Linked DNA regions of Astyanax mexicanus. The protein of the gene in region 1 interacts with the protein of each later gene in a biochemical or structural test. Links are inferred from orthologs where the notes say so. Each region holds a gene or a part of one and is shown in the gene's direction. Other genes may lie near its edges. The genes, in order: smad2, erbin and zfyve9a.

Region 1 (6,955 bases):
CCACTTTCCTGTTCTGAGCAGGCAGTTCCTGCAGGTCCATCTCTGCAACCAACCAGTGGGTCTTCAGATGGCTAATTTATGAATAAAAAAAACTAATTTAATGCATGAGTAATTGTGCAAAAAGGGTCAGCTCATGATTACCTTCTCTGTGCTGGTTTAGATGTTTGCTGTCAGCAGATCTCACCATCTTCTGCTTGTCCATCTTTGGCTGGATCTGAAGGAGCTGATCTTCTGACCTGCCTGCTGTCTGTCCATGCACACACACACACACACACACACACACACACACACATACACTCTCATCTCTATCTAAATGAACTAAAATTACTGCAATTCAGGCAAAACCAATAAAAGCAGAGGTCATAAAACATTTGTGGGGCTGTTTATATGTGTTTCTTACTGGTTCACTGCTGGGTTTTTGCATGTGGTTCTGAGCTGGTGTGTGAATGTTCTGCTGGCTGAGTTGGGCTCTTGCATTAGGCCTGTCCTGCTGCCGTATCCTCCTCAATTCTCTTATCCTCTCATTCTGTGGAAGTATGAAACAATACAAGTACTTCAGATATCCTCATATCATATAGGACACTATGTATTTTTGAGCAATTCCACCAAATGGGTGCCTTTTCTGTCCTCAGGAAATACATGTATAAATGTGCAGAAATAACTTTAAAATACATTTTATTATTAAGCATAGTGTCTTGTACAATGGTGTAATTGCAAAAGTAAAATATGTAATTAAAAACATTAATAAAAACGACTTTAAACACTGAAAAAAATAGCATTTGTTACCTGTCTCCAGTCTCTAACTATACATTTTACCATGAAATATAATTATTAAAATCCTTCAGAGATGTATTTCTTTTTTGCATTGCTGTTTGACTTCAAATCCCATCTATGTTTAAAATTTTTTTTTGTTTTTTAATAATTTTAATAATGTTTTGTTCATAATAAGTCAAAAGTTTATGGAAGCCCATTTTGACCAACTAGTAAGTCATTATTTTAAGATACTTTTCATTATTTTGAGATACTACCTCATTAGTCTGAGATATTAAGTGATTTTGAGATAGCAAGTGTGTTTGCTTTCAGAAAAAATATTTTAAAATAATTATGACTTACTATCTCAAAATAATGACTTTGTATCCCAAAATAATGACTTAGCATCTCAAAATAATGAGACAGTATCTCAACATAATGACTTACTATCTCAAAATAATGACTTACTATCTCATAATAATGAGATATTATCTCAAAATAATGAAATAGTTTTTAAAAATAATGAGATAGTATCTCAAAAAATGACTTACTATCTCAAAAAATAAGATGGCAGTTAACTTAATAATAAGAAAAAAATGTGCTGGATTTTTTATTTTATTTTAGGTGGCGGAAATGGGCGTCCATAAAAATGTTTATGTTAAAATACACATTTTAGTTGTGTCACTGGGTTTCACTCAGTCCTGTTACCGTAACACATTACCCCATCTAAAACATCTGAAAACATTCTACAAGTCACTTCTACAACAGGAAGTGACATCAGCTGGTTCTTCTGAAAATCATACCAAAATCCAGACCAAAATTACTGTAAGTTCCCTCTTTTGTTTTTCTGTTTATTTGATCTTATTGTAACTATGACTGAGGAGCTCAATCTTAACACTTCCTGTTACCTGAATTAGTTCCTTTTGGGAAAATCACTAGAATGTGCTTAGTGTCCTCATGCTATTAGCATAGCCGCAACTTAGCTATGTCTTATGTTTTTGCTAATTCCATGCTAAAAACCATAGACCATTCTTGTTTACTTTTATGACTTTCACAGTTGTACTCAAAAAACATAAAAATAACAGGAATGAGTTTTTTTGTCATAAATAATAATTATTTGAACATGCAGTCAACCATTTTTTTTTAAATGAAAAGACTTTCTTTAAAAAAAAGACTTTCTTGGGAGAAAATCAAAGGAATTAGTGGACTAGTGTTTTTTTAAATGTAACATGAATTTTGTAACCATCTTCGGATTTGAAACCTTAACACTTTAATCAAAAAACATAAGTAAAGCTGCCTGAGTTTGACCAGTACATGTTTTAAATAGTTAAATATGTTATTAGATTCAGAGTTGAAAAAAAAAATAAAAAGCTTAATTTGGAAGCGTTACAACAAGCAAATTGCACCTATTCGGTGGAATTGCCCTTCTACATATTTCTTTCTGTATAAGTGGTTCTGGTGCCTTTACTAAAGAACCCTTATAATATATAAAATATAAATTAATACAGACATCAGTAAAAATGTGTGTCATCCTGTATTGACATGCCAAAAGTTATGGGACTGGCAGCATCTGGCAAACATTGTCCATGCAATCAGACTTTAGCTTCACAGTGAGACACAATAAAGATCTGGTTCCACAGTAGATATGGATAGCATACACATTTAAACATATAACATGAAACATGAAATTTTACCAGGTTTTGATGGAAATCAGACTCTTCATTCTGACCAACACTTCCAATACAGAACTTCTCCCGATGCTTTGCCAGAAAATTTGATGATCTGAACGTCATATTACATCTAGAACAAATTAATGAATCCATTGCTGAAAAAAAAAACTCTTATTAAATAAAACCGGATTAGCCAGGTAGGTAAATGTCTGTGCAGTTCAGCCAGGCTCTGTGTTGAGCTGCTCTTGACAACCAATAATACATAACACACACCAAACCAAACTTACAGCAGCGCCGTCTGCTGGACACGCTGGGAATGAGTTATTACAGTTCCAGCCCATTTAAACTCTTTCACTGTGAAATAACAATCTTCTTATATAAATAAAAAAAAACTTTTTAACCTTTTTGATACTTTGGCTTATTATTTTATTCACTTTTTATTTTACCATTGTAATATCTTATTAATATTATCTTAATTTAATAATTTTATAAATATATATATTTACATATTTTAAATGTACTTTTTTTTCAACAGCAAATTTTACCATCTCACAATTTTAAAACACACAAAAAACAATGTTATAAATGTTATATGGTTTCAGATTTTTTAAACTATAAATTAAATATTTGAAGTCCAACAAAAGGATTTAAATGCTTAGATATGTCACTTTTTTTAGTCAACGTGTGAATCAATTTTGATTTTAATAAATTAGTAACGCTTTAAAGTAGTAACTCATTAATAAACAGTACATATGACCGAATATCTCATCTAATTATTTATGGAAAACGTTAAAATATAATAATCAATTAAAAATATTTAAAAATATTAAAGTTTAATAATGTTTTAACTAGTTCCAATGAATAATTAGCTGAGACATTTTGTCATTATTAACCATTTAACAATATTTAATGTTTAATGTCGTAAGTGTTGGTATTGTTTGTGACCGTAGTTGTAAAGTGTAAAATTTTAAAACACACAAAAAATATCTTAAAATTCAGATTTTTTTAACGATGCTAGTAAATATTTGTATAAAGTTTATCAAAAGTGAAATAAGTTGTATAAATTCTACACAACAAATATTTAATTATAATCTCCATAGAAGAAAAGCTATTTTGAGGCCCTATTTGTTTCTCCTTTGTTGAATGGCGGAGGGATACGCTGCTTGTTTGCTTTGATGGGGCTGTGCAGCCGTATCTAACCCACTTTGCGATTCGGCTCTCAGCGCATCTCTCTCTCTCTGTGCTTCGGTTACGAAGCAAACAGATGGACAGACGGACGGCCGCGTCGACAAACCACAGCCTGCGGCCTGGAATCCAAACGTCAACGAGGGAATGGCGAGTCTGGACGACCAATGGGGTACGCGGGCCGCTTTGCATAATTAATATTTGGATATACTGACGGCAGATGCTGACCAATGTATTCTAAGTAGAAGCGCGTTGGCTGAGATTTTGACCAATAGCAGCACGAAGGCGGGACTAGAGGCGGGACTGAGGGCGGGCCTGTATCGCGTTGAGTGCGTTAAGGTTCGGTTGTCCATATGAGAGAGGCCACCGTCGTCTGCTGCTGTAATTTGGCTACAGAGAGAAAGAAAAATACAGTTTAAATCGATTTTTAGAGCCTGGAGGACGGAGATAAACGCCAGGTTTTGGTGTGGAGGGTCCGTACACATTTTTGGGGTGTGCATAAAGCCGGCGGCTCATCCTGAAGGTGAGTTTTATTGCTGTAAAAATAGGTGAAAATAGGAGCTGCTCCGCGAACACGTCTCTAACCTGTTTATTTTTCTGTCAAACAAAGTGGCGAAGCCTCCGAGCTTAACTTAGCGGTTTTTTGAGCTGAACACACATACACACACCTCCTTAATCACTAAAACCGCCACCTCTCCAGCACCATCACCTCTCCGCGGTTACAGATACTGCTAAAAGATGCTTGAACAGTGCTGTGTTTTTGTGTAACCGTGGCCGGCTCCATCTGCATTCACACTCTGGGTTTGTTCTCGTTTGTAGCCGCTAGCCTCAGCCTCTCGCCCCGGGACTCGCTCGCTCGGACGGGGCTTTTCATGCAGCCATAAAACAACATCTCCTCTCCACATTTTCCATCAGTCCTGCTGCCCGAGGTAAGTGCTGGACGCACACAGAAGCCTTTAAAAACCATTTATTAATATCTCCTCTTTGTAAAGAGCAGCTTCTGTAGGCCCTGGCCTGTTTTTCTGTGGATGGGTAACGTTAGCTAAGTAAGTTAGGTTAGCTAACCTAAGCTACGTGTTTTTTCATAGACTGCTGGCAACGTGTGGACCGGTTTATCGGTGTAGTTTAAATCTTGATTTCAATAAAAAAACATTTAATTTAACATTTAATTTAATAATGCTTATGCATTTACTAAACACACTAATACACATTTAAGTATTTGCCTAAACTAACTACTAATTAATAACTGACACTAGTTATGATAGTAGGGGTGGGTGATATGGCTCATATATCATCATGATACTCATTGGGATATACCAAAACACTGAAATAAAAAAAAAAATATTTCAGGAATACACTACTGCAAAAAAAAAACAAAAACAAACAAGATTTCTACTAACGAGGCACTCAACATATCTTAGATATACAGCTCTGGAAAAGAATGAGACCACTTAAAAAGTATGAGTTTCTTTGATTTTACCAAATTAAAAATGATCAAAAGGAAGATGGATGATCACAAGCCATCAAACCAAGCTGAACTGCTTGAATTGTTGCACCAGGAGTGGCATAAAGTTATCCAAAAGCAGTGTGTAAGGTTGAGGAGCGGAGATACATGAAACTGTGATGAAAAAAAAACAGGCTAATTCCACCAAGTATTAACTTCTATACTTTTAGAACTTTATAATTTGAACTTGTTTGAACATTATTTGAAGTCTGAAAGCACTGCATCTTATTTTTATTTAGAATATGGGAGAAATGTTGTCTGTAGTTTATAGAATAAAACAATGATTATTTTACTCAAACATATATACGTATAAATAGGTAAATCAGAGAAACTGATTCAGAAACTGAAGTGGTTTCTTACTTTTTCCAGAACTGTATAATGACTTACCAACTTCAAGATCGAATAATTAATATGGATCAATCACATATCTAGTCTATTTACTTAGTGCAGAAATATATATAATTTTTTCTTGTTTCATAAAAAATGTTATTCGTTCACTGCATCCCTGTTTATTTTTTTACCCTGTTTACTTGTAGGGCCTCAGTTAATATTTTCTGACTGAGGCTGAAATAGAACATTTTGAAGCACCACTGCATTACTTTTTTTTTAGAATAATGTGTTTTATATCGTTTCTGCAACTGTCAGAACACAGTTGTAACAAAAGTAAGTTTTATTATACCATGATGTTTTTGATGCAAAAATTGAAATCAGAATATTGAGAAGATTTCATTTTTCCTAAAATTCTGTTTGTGAAATGCAGAAATAATAATAAACAATTAAAAGTATATACATTTTTATATCCAATATTTATCAAATTTGGCCTCAAACTCTCAAAATTTAACTGATAAAAGTTACACTGACCTTTATGACAAGACACCACAGCAAATATTGTAAATTAAATAAACAGGGATGCACTAACCAAAATCTGCCCCTAAATCCCTAATTATAAACAATTGAACTGCCCCAGTTAAATACTATTTCTTTTCTTGTGTCACGTTTTCGTTTATTAATTTTATGTTTAAAAAATGAGGCACTATCTAGTTAGCTTAATATGTGGATAAACATTTGCATGCATTTTAAAAGCAGAAATCTGAACAGTGGATACAGTCTGGCTGAATTCAGTTCTTGTTTAAATGTATTAACATATCCGATTTTTTTTGTTGTTGCATAGATTAGAAAATACTCTTAACACCCATCATCGCTGTAAAAAGGTGCTTCTGAAGTGGAGAGCTCTGCACTTGTATTTGTGTCTTTCTATCAAGAAACTCCCCCTTTTTTCTTTAACAATTGGTTGTTGATACAAAGGAAATGAGCATATCTGGATGTTATGCAGAAGAGAGAGAACCTAGCAACTAACAGTATGCTTCTGTCAACATAGTGCAGTCGACAGTTTCAGTACTTCAGGTGGTGTTAGAATGCTAACTTTTAACAAAAATCTACACACAGATAGAAAGTGCAGAAAAATAATAAATTTAATGTGTAATTCAGACACTTTCAGACTACTGTAAAGAAAAAAGCCAAAACATTTCTTTAACTAGTCTATAATAAAGAGTTTGTTCCTGCTACATCTTGCCATAAGCATCCAGCTGCTATCTAGTGTGGTGCTTTTATCTTCATATATCTTCAGTCTCCATCATGCTTAAATTTGGCACAGTTGTGTTCATACCCACAAACCCATACAGTAAGAGTTATAACAGAACGGTTAGTCATTTAACCACACTCTTTCTCACACTCTCTACTCACCAAATGAGCTGTGTAAAGAGATTAATTAGCGATCAGGCTCTCCAAGAACTCATCAGCTCCATGGACTTTAGTCCTGAAACTCTAGAGGCATTTAATACTGAAA
Region 2 (8,109 bases), about 690 kb from region 1:
GGAACTGTTGAATTAACTGCTCATTACAGTATTAATGGGAAAATAGCTGTTTTTTCATCTTTCTAAATGTACCACAATCTGTTATTTATATGTACGCATATTTATATGTTTTAGAGACTGCAGAATTTGTTGTTCTTACAACTTCAGAGAGTTTGTATATTAAACATCTGTAGAGATTGTTCAATTTGTGTTCAAATAATCTTTTGTATCATTAATAAATTACTTGATCATGTAACTTGAGGATCTCCAAGTGTCTGTGGATCTCTAAATGTCTTTTCGGACATCTCCAAGTGTTTATTTTGGGCATCTCCAAGTGACCTTTTGGGCATCTCGAAGTGTCCATTTGGGCATCTCTAAAAGGATGTCAATTTGGGCATCTCCATTGTCTTTTTGGGCATCTCTAAGTGTCCCTTTGGGTATCTCCAAGTGTCCTTTTGGGCATTTCTAAGTGTTCAATTTGGGCATCTCCAAGTGTCCTTTTGGCCATCTCCAAGTGTTTATTTTGGGCATCTCCAAGTGTCCTTTTGGCCATCTCCAAGTGTTTATTTTGGGCATCTCCAAAAGGATGTTGGGCATTTCCAAGTGTCCTTTTGAGCATCTCCAAGTGTCCTTTTTGGCATCTCCAAGTGTCACTTTGGACATCTCCAAGTGTCACTTTGGGCATCTCCAAGGGTCCTTTTGGGCATCTCCATTGTCTTTTTGGGCATCTCCAAGTGTCACTTTGGGCATCTCCAAGTGTCCTTTTGGGCATCTCCAAGTGTCCTTTTGGGCATCTCCAAGTGTCACTTTGGGCATCTCCATTGTCTTTTTGGGATCTCCAAGTGTCCTTTTGCGCATTTCCAAGTGTCACTTTGGACATCTCCAAGTGTCACTTTGGACATCTCCAAGTGTCACTTTGGGCATCTCCAAGTGTCACTTTGGACATCTCCAAGTGTCACTTTGGGCATCTCCATTGTCTTTTTGGGCATCTCCAAGTGTCCTTTTGGGCATCTCCAAGTGTCACTTTGGGCATCTCCAAGTGTCCTTTTGGGCATCTCCAAGTGTCACTTTGGGCATCTCCAAGTGTCACCTTGGGCATCTCCAAGTGTCATTTTGGGCATCTGCAAGTGTCCTTTTGGGCATCTCCAAGTGTCATTTTGGGCATCTGCAAGTGTCCTTTTGGGCATCTCCAAGTGTCCTTTTGGGCATCTCCAAGTGTCACTTTGGCATCTCCAAGTGTCCTTTTGGGCATCTCCATTGTCTTTTTTTGGCATCTGCAAGTGTCCTTTTGGGCATCTCCAAGTGTTCAATTTGGGCATCTCCAAGTATCCCTTTGGGCATCTCCAAGTGTCCTTTTGGGCATCTCCAAGTGTCACTTTGGGCATCTCCAAGTGTCACTTTGGGCATCTCCAAGTGTTACTTTGGGCATCTCCAAGTGTCCTTTTGGGCGTCTCCAAAAAGGACATTGGGCATTTCAAAGTGACCTTTTGAGCATCTCCAGGTGTCCTTTTTGGCATCTCCAAGTGTCACTTTGGACATCTCCAAGTGTCCTTTTGGGCATCTCCAAGTGTCCTTTTGGGCATCTCCAAGTGTCACTTTGGGCATCTCCAAGTGTCTTTTTGGGAATCTCCAAGTGTCACTTTGGGCATCTCCAAGTGTCACTTTGGGCATCTCCAAGTGTCACTTTGGGCATCTCCAAGTGTCGTTTTGGACATCTCCAAGTGTCACTTAGGGCATATCCATTGTCACTTTGGACATCTCCAAGTGTCACTTTGGGCATCTCCAAGTGTCACTTTGGGCATCTCCAAGTGTCCTTTTGGGCATCTCCAAGTGTCACTTTGGGCATCTCCAAGTGTCACTTAGGGCATCTCCAAGTGTCCTTTTAGGCATCTCCAAGTGTCCTTTTGGGCATCTCCAAGTGTCACTTAGGGCATCTCCAAGTGTCACTTTGGACAACTCCAAGTGTCCTTTTGAGCATCTCCAAGTGTCCTTTTGGGCATCTCCAAGTGTCCTTTTGGGCATCTCCAAGAGTCAGTTTGGGCATCTCCAAGTGTCCTTTTGGGCATCTCCAAGTGTTCAATTTGGGCATCTCCAAGAGTCAGTTTGGGCATATCTAAGTGTCACTTTGGGCATCTGCAAGTGTCCTTTTGGGCATCTCCATTGTCTTTTTTGGTATCTCCAAGTGTCCTTTTGGGCATCTCCATTGTCTTTTTTTTGGCCTCTACAAGTGTCCCTTTGGGCATCTCCAAGTGTCCTTTTGAGCATCTCCAAGAGTTTTTTTGGGCATCTCCAAGTGTCCCTTTGGGCATCTCCAAGTGTCCCTTTGGGCATCTCCAAGTGTCCTTTTTTGTTCTTTTGAGTTAATCTATTGAAAAAAATAAATGAATAAAAATTAAATAAAATAAAAAATGCTCAATGCTTCATCTTTTACTGTTCTTATAAAAACGGGTTAGTATGTTAATATTTTGTGTAGCAAGATGCCAACTCCACAATTTAAAGTTTAATAGTCTATGGTGGCCGCCTGGTGGCGACCAATCATCTGCTTTCAAACAGCAGAGATCCTCTTCCAAATGAAGTAACGAGAGGAGCCATTACCCACATTAAAAACTAACAATGATGAGAAGGTATGACCCACACTCACTTCTACACTGCTGCAGCTTTTCTTTAAAAAATGTTCAATCTTGTCTAGTTTACTCAAATAGGAACATAAATATATTAAGGAATATTAAAAGGCTGAGAAAGTTAAACAGCCAGACTAAGGGACGCTACAGCTGGTTAAACCGAGAAACCCCGAGGCAGTTTCTACTCTCCTTCTCTCCATCCTTTCTAACGTTTCCACCCCCCTCTGTTTCTGTAATCTTTCCCCTGTAAAAGCACGGCTAGATTTTCTATAAAAAACTGTAAAACACACATGCCTTGTCCGGACTTTCAGACTCCTCAATTCTGGGTCCAAACCAAACTAGCAGGTGTGAAAGAGGGCATGAAGCACGGTCCGGATCAAAAGAGCAGAGTTTCAGGAGTGTTGATTGTTGCGGGGGAGTACACAGCTCTGAAAAAAACCTTAAGAGAGCACTTCAGTTTCTCTAATTTTGTACAACTAACATTGTTTTATTTTTTAAAAATACAAAAAAATACTAAATTCCAAATAAAAATATCGTCATTTTAGAGCATTTATTTACAGAAAACGAGAAATGGCTGAACTAAAAAAAAAAGATGCAGAGCTTTCAGACCTTAAATAATGCAAAGAAAACAAGTTAATATTCATAAAGTTTTAAGAGTTCAGAAATCAATATATGGTGGAATAGCCCTGGTTTTTCATCACAGTTTTCATGCATCTTGGCATGTTCTCCTCCACCAGTCTTACACACTGTCACTTCTAGTTAAAAAATTTAAGCAGTTCAGTTTGGTTTGATGGCTTGTGATCATCCATCTTCCTCTTGATTATATTCCAGAGATTTTCAATTTGGTAAAAACCCGTCACTTTTATGTGTTTTCTTTTTTTTTTTTTTACCAGAGCTGTATATCAATGCGTATATCTATGCATTTACACGTTACAGATTTACAAAGCATTTATCACCAGACTTAAAATCAGGCATGGTGCGGAGAAGCGCATTCCATGCGTAAAAACGCGCGCCGTGCGTAAAAGCGCATTCGGTGCGTAAAAACGCGCGCCGTGCGTAAATGCGCATTCCGTGCGTAAAAACGCGCGCCGTGCGTAAAAACTATAGAGAAAAAAGCTATAGAGAAAAACTGCTTCTCAGGTGTTGATTATTATTTAGATTATATTAATACTCATGTATTTAGCTGTAGCTCAGAATCGCTGTTTAAAGGATCGGTGGAGGCTTATGAAGGCTCACAAGCAGAAAACAGTGATAGTCGTGTTTATTTCGATCACTAGAGGGAGACCTAACACTAAAATCACTATAGATTTTAAATCTGCACTCCTTTCACTATATCCAGATACTGCTCCAGAGAAGGAGAAAAGAAGGTTATGTTACTGTGCATTTTACTGTTTTCTACTAATACTGTGTTAATGACTCTGTGTGAAATAAGAATTCAAGGAAATAAAATTAACCAAATACAGCAGTATACACAAATTAGTATTTGATAAAGAATGGACCTGCAGGGTCTGAATTTCAGGAAAAAAATTATTAAGTTTTCAATTTTATAATATATAATTTACACGAAAAAAATAGAAAATCAAGTAAAATTAATTTGTATTGTATATAAAATAAGTTTTGTGATGTAATGTTAAACTGGGTGAAAAACTTAGTTTGCAACAAGCAATGCCAAATTTTCTAAAAGTTAGAAAACTTCCCACAGATCAGCAGTGCCATTCAAAAAAAAACATACATTTATTTACACTGCCTGACCCAAAAATCACCACCAAAAAAACACAAAACACCAAAACACTCTGATATTTCGTTGTATCGCTTTTAGCTTTGATTGCGGCATTGATTCAATAAGCTTCTGCATTTATATCAATCCAGTGTTGCATTAATTTTTTACCAAGATCTTGCAGCAGCATTAATGATGGTAGAGTCTGACCTCTGCACAAAGCATCTTCTTCTCCAGCACATCCCAAAGATTCTCAATGAGGTTAAGATGTGGACTCTGTGGTGAATAATCCATGTGTGAAAATGATGATCTCATGCTTCCTGAACCCTGAACTCTTTCACAATTCGGGAAGAAAATCTGTTGTTGGAATAACCTGGTCTATATTCAGTATATTCAGGTAGTCAGTTGACTTTATTCTTTATGCACATACTGTTGCTGAACCTAGACCTGCAGACCAACTGCAGCATCAACCCCACATCATTTACTTACTTAAATCCAGGAGGAGACTTGATTTTTTGGCCTTAGAGAAAACCTGTTTACAGCCGGAGCTCCTTATATGGGCATAATTGAGTTCGACCACGGAACGACGTCACGAGCTCATTTCTGTTTCTCCACCGCTTTTGGTGGGTTGTGGTTAGGTTTAGGCAGCGGCCAGCAGATGGCGCTGCATCTCACAGTTTCCCCGCTCAGCGCCGCCGCTGCTGCCTGTTTTCAGCCCCTCTCTCTCCCTCTCTGCGCTGCATCACTTTACACTGAGTCCTCGCTCTGAGCTCCCCGTGTCCGCGTCCACCCGCCGCTTCTTCAGGGTGTGCAGCCACTTCTGCTTCACCGCTGGACCCGTGTTTATGTCCCACGCTCTTCAGAGGGAAGCAGTGGGAGGTTGTGAGGAGAGTTAGCCGGCTGTGTGTGTGGGTGCGGCGCGCTGTGATCTCTATATAAACCGCTGTGGAGTATTTTTCTCTCGCTTCTCCTCTGGTACATGGCTCCGGTTGTTGTGCTGCTGTGCGCTGTGTGGACGCGGTTTCAGCCCGTTTTCTGGAGCTCCGCGCTCTGAGCGAGCTCTGCTGGAGTTCTGCGGATCTGAGAACACTCTGACCGGGGAGATTAAGGTGGTCTGGGGGCTGTGTTTTGTGTTTGTGCTCGAGTTTGGGAGGAAAACTTGAGCGGTGAACTTTAGAGAGGTGGTGCTCTGTTCCTGATTGACTAACACAGAGTGTATAGCGTTAAGCAGGCTAACGCTAGTTAGCTTAGCATGCCTGCTAGTTAGCTAGCTAGCTAACCCTCCTTAACAGCCAGCCCGTGTGAACCGCGCGATGCCTTTGTGTGAACAGCTCATGTGGATTTAAAGTATTCGCTTTTCTTCTAATTAAACGAACCCGGAGGATTACGGAGAGCTGCTGGATAAATAAGGTAAGAACTCGACATGTTTTTACTGTCTGTTTCACTTCGTCCTTCAGCTGCTGGCGGCTGCTTCCTTGTTTGTTAGCCTGCCAGCCCAAATCGCGACGAGCTTGAAGTTGAAGTCGAATTCGCCGGTCCACCTTAAAAACTGCAGCGGTTTCAGTCAGAGCGCTTGGCTGCGTGCTCCGGCTCCACACCGCAACCGCTGCAGTATTTAAGGTGGACTGGAGAATTCACTTCCAAGAAATAAAATTAAGGTTCTGCTTTAGAAGATAGGAAAAAAATGATTTTGTTTTAATGGACTTATTAATGCCTAAGTAACTAAATTCACTAGAAACAAAAGCAGTTATTTAGCTAACATAACTGTACATCAATCAACCTTTATTTTCACTTGGTAATTTGAACAAAACAAAAAACATTGAGGGTAACCCTCATTTTTAATGAATCCCCAATAACTTAAAAAGGACTGAAAATAAAAGTTTAAATTAAAATTAAAAGCAAGTATTTTACCTCGTGAGGTAAAATAATAAAATTAACATAAAACAAAATAAATTATGTAGTAAAAGCATTAGAAAAACAAGCAAACAAACATTATAAGATTTTTATTTAGAAGAAATAAAAATATATATATTCAGAATAAAGGAATAATAAAATATATACATAAAAAAGAAATAATAATAAAATAAATACAAATGTAAAGGACAACAAGGAAAACATAATTCATAAAAGGACGAAATTAATAAAATATGTGAAAGAAAAATAAATAAAAAGGCTAAAAGGTAAAACAGAAATTTAGACGAATAAAAAGACTAAATCAATAAAAGGGGAAAAAAGGAAACTAAAACAGTTAAAGACTGTCTGAAGGTGGTTATAAACAAAGTTTAAAATGGTTTAGTGACACCAGTGAGCTTTAGAGTGAGTTTTAGAGTTTACTACACTGTAGCTGTATGTAGGCTGGGAGGATTAAAGGAATTGAATTAAGTGTATAATCAGGTAAACAAACCCCAGCCTGGTGATAAACTGCTGGACACCGTGCTTGCTTTGTGTCTGTCTGAACAGGTGAATCTGAACTAACCCTGCTAACGACTAGCTATCTGCCCTGATAGCAGTAAACATTGAATAAACGTTTGTTCATGTTGAGAAAAACAACCTTTAAACAACATTTATGTAACATTCTTTGGTTAATGTCTTTTCTGGCTTGAGAGATTCATTATTTGTTATAGATTTTTTTGTAGACACACATGAATTGCTATCATTATTTATATAAAAAAGCTAATTTTTTTGTTAGTCGTTTTATTGTTAGTATTCTCATTATGTGGGTTATTTGCTGGCTCAGTGCTGCATGCTCCTGGCTTCTGATTGAAAGTGAATGGATATTACCTGACAGATTAAACCAATTTAATCTGTCAGTCGCTCAGCATTTAGTTCAGTTCAGTTTATGTATTTTTGGATGCTAGAATTTGAATGCTTTCTCTTGTAATGAGTTTGATAAAAGATCTGTTGTGATAATTTCTGTTCTCTAATTCTGTTGCGTGAGTTCTGATGTAATGTATTCAGTCGTTTTAGAATTCCGTTTCAGCAGGATTCTGTTTATCAATTTAAATATTTTGTTTGGTAAAATCTAGTAGGTGTTACCGCTGCTTTGTTGCTACTTGATTCTGATCTGCTTTGCTCTGTTTCACATGTTTTTGTCTGATTCTGAATTTTAAACTATTGTTTACTATTGAGATATCTTTGGATATTCCCAAATATAATAATTGTCTGTTTTTGAATTTGATAGATCTAGGCATATTCTGTTGGGATTTAATATGTTCTGTTTTTTTTTTTTTTTTTTTTTTTTTTTTTTCAAATAATATAACAAGCAAACACTTGTTACTATATACTGCTTGAATTTTTGCACCAGGAGTGGCATAAAGTTATCAAAAAAAAAGCAGTGTGTCAGACTGGTGGAGGAGAACATGCCAAGAAGCATGAAAACCAGAGTTATTTCACTAAATTGATGATTATTTCTGAAGTCTTAAAACTTTATGGATATTAACTTGTTTTCTTTTCATTTCTTTACAACAATGTTCATTTTACTCAAACATACACCTATAAATAGCAAAATCCGATAAACTGGTTCAGAAACTGACGTTGTCTCTTTATTTTTTTCCAGAGCTGTATATGTGTATATCATCTGTACTATATTAAGAGATCATGTTTGTTCATCTTACTGTGGTTTTGGGTTTCCTCTGCACAGTATAATACGATTAGCATCCCAGCCTCCTCAGCTTGAGCTTTGATTGCGTAGCTAAACTCTGGAAACAAAACTGTATCCACACGATTTGGGAGAGTAGACAGAGTAGACACGGCACCCTGTTTAGACCTTTTAGTGTGTGCAACTAATAGAGT
Region 3 (7,791 bases), on another chromosome or scaffold:
ATAATGTGCATTTATATAAAAAACTTAGGATTTTAAATTCTAAATCATCTCAATTCACAACGCCAAACTTCAAACCAGTAGACAGAAATAATTTACATATATAATTTGCAATTTACAATTACAAGTGTGATAAATTAAGAATGTATCATCTATTTATCTTAGGGATTCACCACGATATATCGGTATCGGACAGTAATTGCTTTTTTTTTGGAAACATCATTAAAATATAATTTCTTAGATTTGGCCGATATTTCAAACTCATATTTAATTACATATTTTTTGTATGTCAATAAAGGATTAAGCGACACCGGCTGCCTCACTTTCAATTCAATTGATTTAAGCTACATGTTAATTAAAAAAAGGTTTAAGAACAGTTTATGTAAGAACCAGTTACCTAAACAAATGTGAATCAAACAAACAAAAAATCTAAATTGTCAGGAGCACCCTTAACTTTTTTGTGTTGTATAAATTTAAAATATAAGGCAAATAAATGTTACATGTGTTTCTTCACTGTTAAAATAGATTTTTTTTATTAATAAAAGATCATAAATCTTTATTATTGCTGCTGCATTTCTAAAAAAGATATATACATGACAGTTTCCATTATCTAGTTAATAGGTTTTTACGTATATACATATCTATTAGGGGTGTGTCATATCGTAAGGAATAATATCACCAACATTTTTGAATATCGTGAACGATATTATACCCTGAAATATCATACCATATCACGCATCCCTAATTATCACATCAGGGTTCTACTTTTTTTTTTTTTTACTGTTTTTATCAAAAGAAAAATTCACACTGTTCTTATTTCCCATTATATATCTACTAGAGACAGATTATATCTGTGCAGTATCATTTATTTTACTTTAATCCTGGATATATGGAGATATTTGGAGTGTATTATTATTAGAATCATGACATTCTGTCAAGCCTTATTGACTTCTGTTACAAATCTGATAAAAATCTTGTATTTGTTAATATCTCGGTTAGGGGTGTGCCATATCATATCGTATACAATAATAAAATTTAATTTTCATTTTGTTGCAGTAGTGTATTCTTGAAATAATTTTTTATTTAGTATTTTGACATATCGCCAAGAGTATAGTCATTACAAAAAAACATAAAATATTGTCATATTATTTATTATTTTAGGGCCATATCGCCCACCTCTAATATGGGATTGCAGGGCTTTTTGACTACTATTTGGTTAATATATTTCTGGCAAAATCACAAAAGTTTTACATGGAAAATGCAGATATGTAGGTTTCTAACATATCTAAAGCCTATAACTTAAAAAAGCTAGCTAGCTAACTAGTCAATGACATTTGTTTACCTTAAATAAAATAAATAAAATAAAAAGTATATTTCAGGAGTTATAAAATATGCTTTATGCTAACTTTACGATTTATTAAAGCGAAATATCTTCAGTTATCTAGCTTTCTTTCCTAGAAAAGCCATAGTTAAGTGCTGTGAAAACTGCGGTATAAAATTAGCAAACTTAGCTGACAGTTTGACCTCAGAACTGAATTCCCGCGCTTTTATATGAACAGCGCGTGACCCCGGCGCGTGACTCTGGGCTCGTGACCCACTGCGCAGATCCGCTGATCTGTAGCTCATATTATGCACCACGTCTTGGCGATTATGATTTATAGATCATTAGATCTGCCGTCTGGATTTAAAATTAGGGATTTTTTATGATTTTTTTTTATGTAAAAGGCACAATAATATCTGACTGTAAATAAAATGTATGTAAATACAAAAATAAATATAAAAATGTAAAAAAAAAAAAAAGATAACTAAAATGCTCATATGGCCTCCATCATTTCTATAAACTAATAAACATTTCAACACTTTCTTAAAATAAACTAATTTTATCAAATGTTTCAGGTAAAAGACAAAAATGTAGAGATTAAATAATTTTCTAGAGTTTAGATGTTTTTAATTGTTCTATAAGAAGGAAAACCAATACTACTTTTAAATCTTTACTAATAAGTTGTGCAATGGATTCTACTAGTTTTTATATGCAGATCCAAATGTGCAGTATACTGTATATACAGTTTGGTTATTTTAATATAAAGTTAATTATACGTTTTAAAATGTAAAAAAAAAACAGGTTGAACATGATGTATAGATCATTAAATCTGACATCTGGGTTTAAAATGAGGGATTTTTATGATTCTTTGTTAATGTGAAGAGCACAATAATATCTGACTGCTAATAATATTTATGTAATTAAAAAAATAAATATCAAAGATTCGAAAAATGTGGCCTCCATTATTTCTACAACCTACTAAAATTTCGACATCTTCCTAAAATAAACTAATTGTTTTTACCCAAAAATGTACCAAATATTATGGCATAAAAGTATTTTTCTAGAGGTTAGATGTTTTAAATTGTTCTATAGAAAGAAAACCAATACTACTTTTAACTTTTCATCAAACAACATGTATTCTATTGCTTTTTATACAGATCCAAATGTGGCGTATACTGTGAATAGAGTATTGTGATTTTAAAATAAAGTTAATTTTTATATAAACAAGTTTTAAAATGGTAAAAAAAATTTTTTGAGTATACTTCATTTTGTTCTGTGTAATTTCTCATTTCTGGTGTCATTTAATTAATTGTATCCCTGTCATCCATATTTATTCAGTGGGCGTTACTGTTTAGTTTACAATGCAGCTCCAGACTTCACAAATAACTAATTAATATTCTAGAATAAAATTACCTCCAAAGGCTGTGGTATTGAATATAGGACTGGTAACTCTGATAAACTTATTCTGTGCAACAGAGGGAACTCTTGCTCTTGATAAGTGCCAGTTTCATCATAAGGTTTCTGGTGGTCTTTGCGACTGCACTTTGTACTTTCAGTTCTTGACATTTTTCAGACTGCCTGACCCTCATATGTTTTTCTTCATAGTTTGGATGACTTTAGTATTAATCTACAATGCAGAACATTTTAAAATGATGTGAAAACACTGAATTTACAGTGTGTATGAATTCTGTGTGTATTTTGATTCTGCATATTTCTCCTTTCTGGTATAATGATTAATGATTATATTCTATGTTGTTATACGTTACATAACTTTTTGAAAAAAAAATGTAATACTTAGTAACTTATTAATATTTCAGGATAAAAATTACCTTCAAAGGCTGTGGTCTCGAATATAGGGCTGGTAACTTTGATGAACCTATTCTGTGCAACAAAGGAAATTCTTGCTCTCTTGTTTTCTTGGGGCAGTCCTGATGAGAGCCAGTTTCATCATCATAATGTTTTTGATGGTCTTTGTGGTGACTGAAATGGAGGATACCTTCAGTTCTTTAACATGTTTTTGTTCATAGTTTGGATGAGTTTAGTATTAATCTATCTACAGTACAGAACATTTCAAAATGATGAAAAATGATGAAAAAACACTGAATTTAAGGTGTGTGTGCCAACTTTTGACTGATTTAGTATCCTGTATGTCCTTTTTTTCTGCATATTTTCTGTATTTTGTTTTCTGATATCAATTAATAATTATATTTTAAGTTCTCAAAGTCAAAGTCAAAGTCAAAGTGGTTTTTATTGTCATTTCAGCTATATAAAGAGTACACAGTGAAACGAAACAACGTTCCTCCAGGGACCATGGTGCACATAAACACAGTGTAGACAGAACAATAGTGCAACAGTACAAAAGTGCAGACAGACAATACAACACCATACAGACAAAGAATAATAAATAACAAGACAGTGTGCAAATTATGCAGTGTGCAAAAAAGACCAGGTGAGGTAGTAATTACCTCTATTACACAGTGTGCAATAGAGTCCAGTGAGGTAGTAGGGTTTTTAGTGCTTTCCATTTTCTGGGGTAAGTGGGGTAAGAGTGTGTGTGTGCATGTACAGAAAAACCATCAGTTCAGTCTTTGCAGTTAAGGAGTCTGATGGCTTGGGGGTAGAAGCTGTTGCAGAATCTGGTCGTGCTGGACCGGATGCTGCGGTACCTTCTTCCCGAAGGCAGGAGGGAGAACAGTTCGTGTGAGGGATGGGTGGGGTCATTCACAATGCTGGTTGCTTTGCGGATGCTGCGGGTGGTGTAAATGTCCGTGATGGAGGGGAGAGAGACGCCGATGATCCTCTCAGCTGTCCTCACAATACGCTGGAGGGTCTTGCGGTCAGAGACGGTGCAGGTCCCAAACCAGGCAGTGATGCAGCTGCTCAGGATGCTCTCAATGGTCCCTCTATAGAAGAGTGTGAGGATGGGTGGAGGGAGACGGGCCTTTCTCAGCTTCCGGAGGAAGTAGAGACGCTGCTGGGCTTTCTTGGCTGTAGAGCTGGTGTTCAGGGTCCAGGTGAGGTTATCTGCTAAGTGGACACCAAGGAACTTGGTGCTCTTAACAATCTCCACAGAGGACCCGTCGATGTTGAGTGGAGAGTGGGTGTGTTGTGCTCTCCTGAAGTCAACAACCATTTCCTTTGTCTTGTCCACATTCAGGTGAAGGTTGTTGACTGTAAACCAGTCTGTCAGTTATACGTTACATAACTTTTTGAACGAAATAATAAAATGAATATATAATAACTTATTATTATTCCAGAATAAAAAAATACTTTCAAACATTGCCAATATTTGTAAGCACCGCCTCCTTTTCAACCCCACGCCCACAACCCCGCCCACGGGCGGAGCCAAATGCGTCACTCCTCGGCTTACAACCTACAAAGCAGTGAGTAATTACTCCAGGCCCCGCCCCTTTCTGATGCCGCGCTGTAGCAGCGCTGCCTCGCGCTCCCCGCTCTAGTTTAGAGGCCATCTTTACAGCCCGTGGGCCTGCAGCGGAGAACCGGAGACCCGCGGAGCGTCCACGCAGCTCAGCCGCCGCAGGGTGAGCTCAGAGCGGCCACAGCGGCTGGATCGCCCCGCTGAAGGAGCCGGAGCTGGAGGAGGAGCTGGAGCTGCTGCATGGCTGCGCTGCGCTGTGAGTGACTGAGGATGGCCACTGCAGCTGCGGTGAGTTAGTTAGAGAGCCAGGCAGCCTGGCACACTGATAATCGATCGTTTTCCGATAGATGATCAATCGATTTGATTAATTTTAATCCCCGGATCACCTTCACGGTGTCATTTTACACAGAGAAAGAGAGGCTGCAGCAGAACAACACAGGCTCTCACCCTGCTTTACTGCTGGATTTCTCAACAATCCGGATCATTAGCTGGAATAATTCGCTTTAAATCCACATTTTTAAACATTTTACATCCTTATTAACATACCACACAAGCTCCAAACCCTTTAAAACAGCCTGTTTTTATGTGATCAGCTGTAGAAAACGCTCAGGAAGAGGTCAAGCTCCAGCCAAAGTTTATTTACTCTAGCTCTAAGCTAGGCTATAACTGGCTAATGCTGTGGTGCAACACTGTTATCTAGAGGTTAAACCCTTTTAAAACCTTTTTAAACCCTTTAAAATGCTTTATTTTACTGCGTAGAACTAATTGTAAGTGTTTACTAAGGCTGTAAATGTTTATTATCTGGTTTCCAGGTTTTGATCCATGATAATACCATGCTATTTTGAAGTTGGATGCTATCCATGCTGTGGAATATGGAGCTCAACTGTTACATAGTTTTATCTTTTAGGTTTGACGTTTAAAAAAATAGTATACCAGTAATCAATTATGTATTGTTTGCATACACTGTAGTAGTACTACAGTAATCACACCCTGAATAAGGGCTGCAACTCATGATTAATTTGTTAGACAGCTAATCTGATGATTGTGTTGTTTGTTATTTTGAAGTTGGATGTCATCCCTGCTGTGGAATATGGAGCTCAACTGTTATTTCTTGTTCTCGTTTTATCTCTAGAAACAGCTGAAATGGGATTTAAATTCCCTTAAATTGTCCAAAACGTTGCTCTTTAAATGTGGAAAGTGCTGCTATTTATTGAGGAAATGTGTATTCTGTTGAATTTGGGCCCTTTTGGAGACGTAGACAGAGTTGAGTGTAAACTGTTTGATTTACCCAGTACTGTTTTACTGAATAGAACTACTTTTAAGTGTCTACTATGGCTACAAATGTTTATTAACTGGTTTCCATGCTGTCATCCATGATAATGCCATGCTATTTTGAAGTTGGGTGCCATCCATGCTGTGGAATATGGAGCTCAATTGTTACTTCTTACATAGTTTTATCTCTTAGGTTTGACATTTAAATTTTAGAGTACGGTAACCAATAATGTATATTTGAATACACTGTAGTAGTACTACAGTAATCACACACTGCTGAATACGTGGCTGCAATTAGGGCTGCAACTAATGATAATTTTGGTAGTTGACTGATTTGACTATTATTTTCCTGATTAGTCGATTTGTAGATTATTTCTGCTTCCTCTGGGAATGGCTTCGGTTTATAGCTTCCTCTGTCTTCGCTTCAAATCGCTAGAAACAGCTGAACAAGGGATTTAAATACACTTTAAATGTGGAAAGTGCTGCTATTTATTGAGGAAATGTGTATTCTGTTGAATTTGGGCCCTTTTGGAGACATGTTGAGTGTAAACTGTTTGAGTGTCCCCAGTACTGTTTTGCTAAATAGAACTACTTTTAAGTGTCCGCTAAGGTTACAGATGTTTATTAACTGGTTTCCATGCTTCGATCCATGATAATACCATGTTATTCTGAATTATTTTGAAGTTGGATGCCATCCATCTTGTGGAATATGGAGCTCAACTGTTATATCTTTTTATTAGGTTTGATATTTTAATTTTAGTATACGTATTGTACAGTAATCAATATTGTATATTCGCATGCACTGTAGTAGTACTACAGTAATCACACACTGAATTAGGGCTGCAACTAATGATCAATTTGGTAGATGGCTGCAACTATTGAATATTTTGTTCGTCTACTTATCTGGCGATTATTTTTTCCGATTAGTTAACGATTATTTCTGCTTGCTCTGGGTATGGTTCCTGTTTCTAGCTTTCTCTGTCTTCGCTTCAAATCGATAGAAACAGCTGAACAAGGGATTCAAATGCCTTTCAAATGTCCAGAACGTTGCCCTTTAAATGTTTAAAAATGCTGCTATTTATCGAGGAAATGTGTTGAGGTAACCTGTTGAATTTGGGCACATTTTGAGACACACAAAAAAAAGAAGGAATAAAGTGTTGTTTGATTAATAATTTAAACAATACTCAATTATTGATGTGTTCTTCAGCATGCTAACGCTAGGTGACAAAGATCACCACCTCTAAGCTATTTACGTGCCGTTAAAATTACTGCAATCAGTTAAATCAAACAGATAAGATGTAAACTAGGCCCAAAGCAATAGTTACATCAGTGAGTTATCATAAAATAAACATGCAAACATAATCTCAGTAAAAATCCACAACAACACTGTTTAATACCGTAATATGAGATTGCTGTGTTTAATACTAATAATCCTTGCTTAAAAAGCCTGTGGGTGGATATATTTATGGATGTATACATGTATTGATGAGTACATTCATGTCTGGATAGAAATATTAGTAAATATATTGACCAATATACAGTATAGGTGGATGTACTGTTGGGTAAATCAATGTATTTATGGATGGAATTGTGTAGAAAAGTATACTGATGGTTGGTTGGATATATCAATGGATACATGGATGGAAGGATGGATATATTGAAATACAGATGCATGGACAAATAAAAATGGCTATATACTGTAGGTATCAAAATATATGTTTTGATTAAGACTGTATTTAGGTGTATGTACTGATGGCAGAATCTACATATAGTAGTCATAGGATACAAATTTGTATGGATGGATGGTTGGATGGATATGTTG

Evidence for each region.
Region 2: the proteins of smad2 (region 1) and erbin form a complex in vitro, tested with the Homo sapiens proteins (2 studies listed by BioGRID). The link is inferred for Astyanax mexicanus from reciprocal best matches to the Homo sapiens genes SMAD2 and ERBIN.
Region 3: the proteins of smad2 (region 1) and zfyve9a are reported together in a solved structure, tested with the Homo sapiens proteins (2 studies listed by BioGRID and IntAct, with this or other methods). The link is inferred for Astyanax mexicanus from reciprocal best matches to the Homo sapiens genes SMAD2 and ZFYVE9.

Annotation. Positions count from the first base shown.
Region 1 is NC_064427.1:23,598,149-23,605,103, forward strand, and holds the start of smad2 (mothers against decapentaplegic homolog 2), read left to right. Parts: upstream 1-3,946; 5' UTR 3,947-4,128; intron 4,129-4,424; 5' UTR 4,425-4,534; intron 4,535-6,955. Other genes in the region: coiled-coil domain-containing protein 17, read right to left, coding at 1-42, 142-247, 401-526, 2,445-2,573. UniProt on the Homo sapiens protein: Receptor-regulated SMAD (R-SMAD) that is an intracellular signal transducer and transcriptional modulator activated by TGF-beta (transforming growth factor) and activin type 1 receptor kinases.
Region 2 is NC_064427.1:22,909,952-22,918,060, forward strand, and holds the start of erbin (erbin), read left to right. Parts: upstream 1-5,045; 5' UTR 5,046-5,727; intron 5,728-8,109. Other genes in the region: nln (neurolysin, mitochondrial), read left to right, coding at 1-11. UniProt on the Homo sapiens protein: Acts as an adapter for the receptor ERBB2, in epithelia. By binding the unphosphorylated 'Tyr-1248' of receptor ERBB2, it may contribute to stabilize this unphosphorylated state.
Region 3 is NC_064411.1:57,255,072-57,262,862, reverse strand, and holds the start of zfyve9a (zinc finger FYVE domain-containing protein 9), read left to right. Parts: upstream 1-4,726; 5' UTR 4,727-4,985; intron 4,986-5,011; exon of another isoform or gene 5,012-7,791. UniProt on the Homo sapiens protein: Early endosomal protein that functions to recruit SMAD2/SMAD3 to intracellular membranes and to the TGF-beta receptor.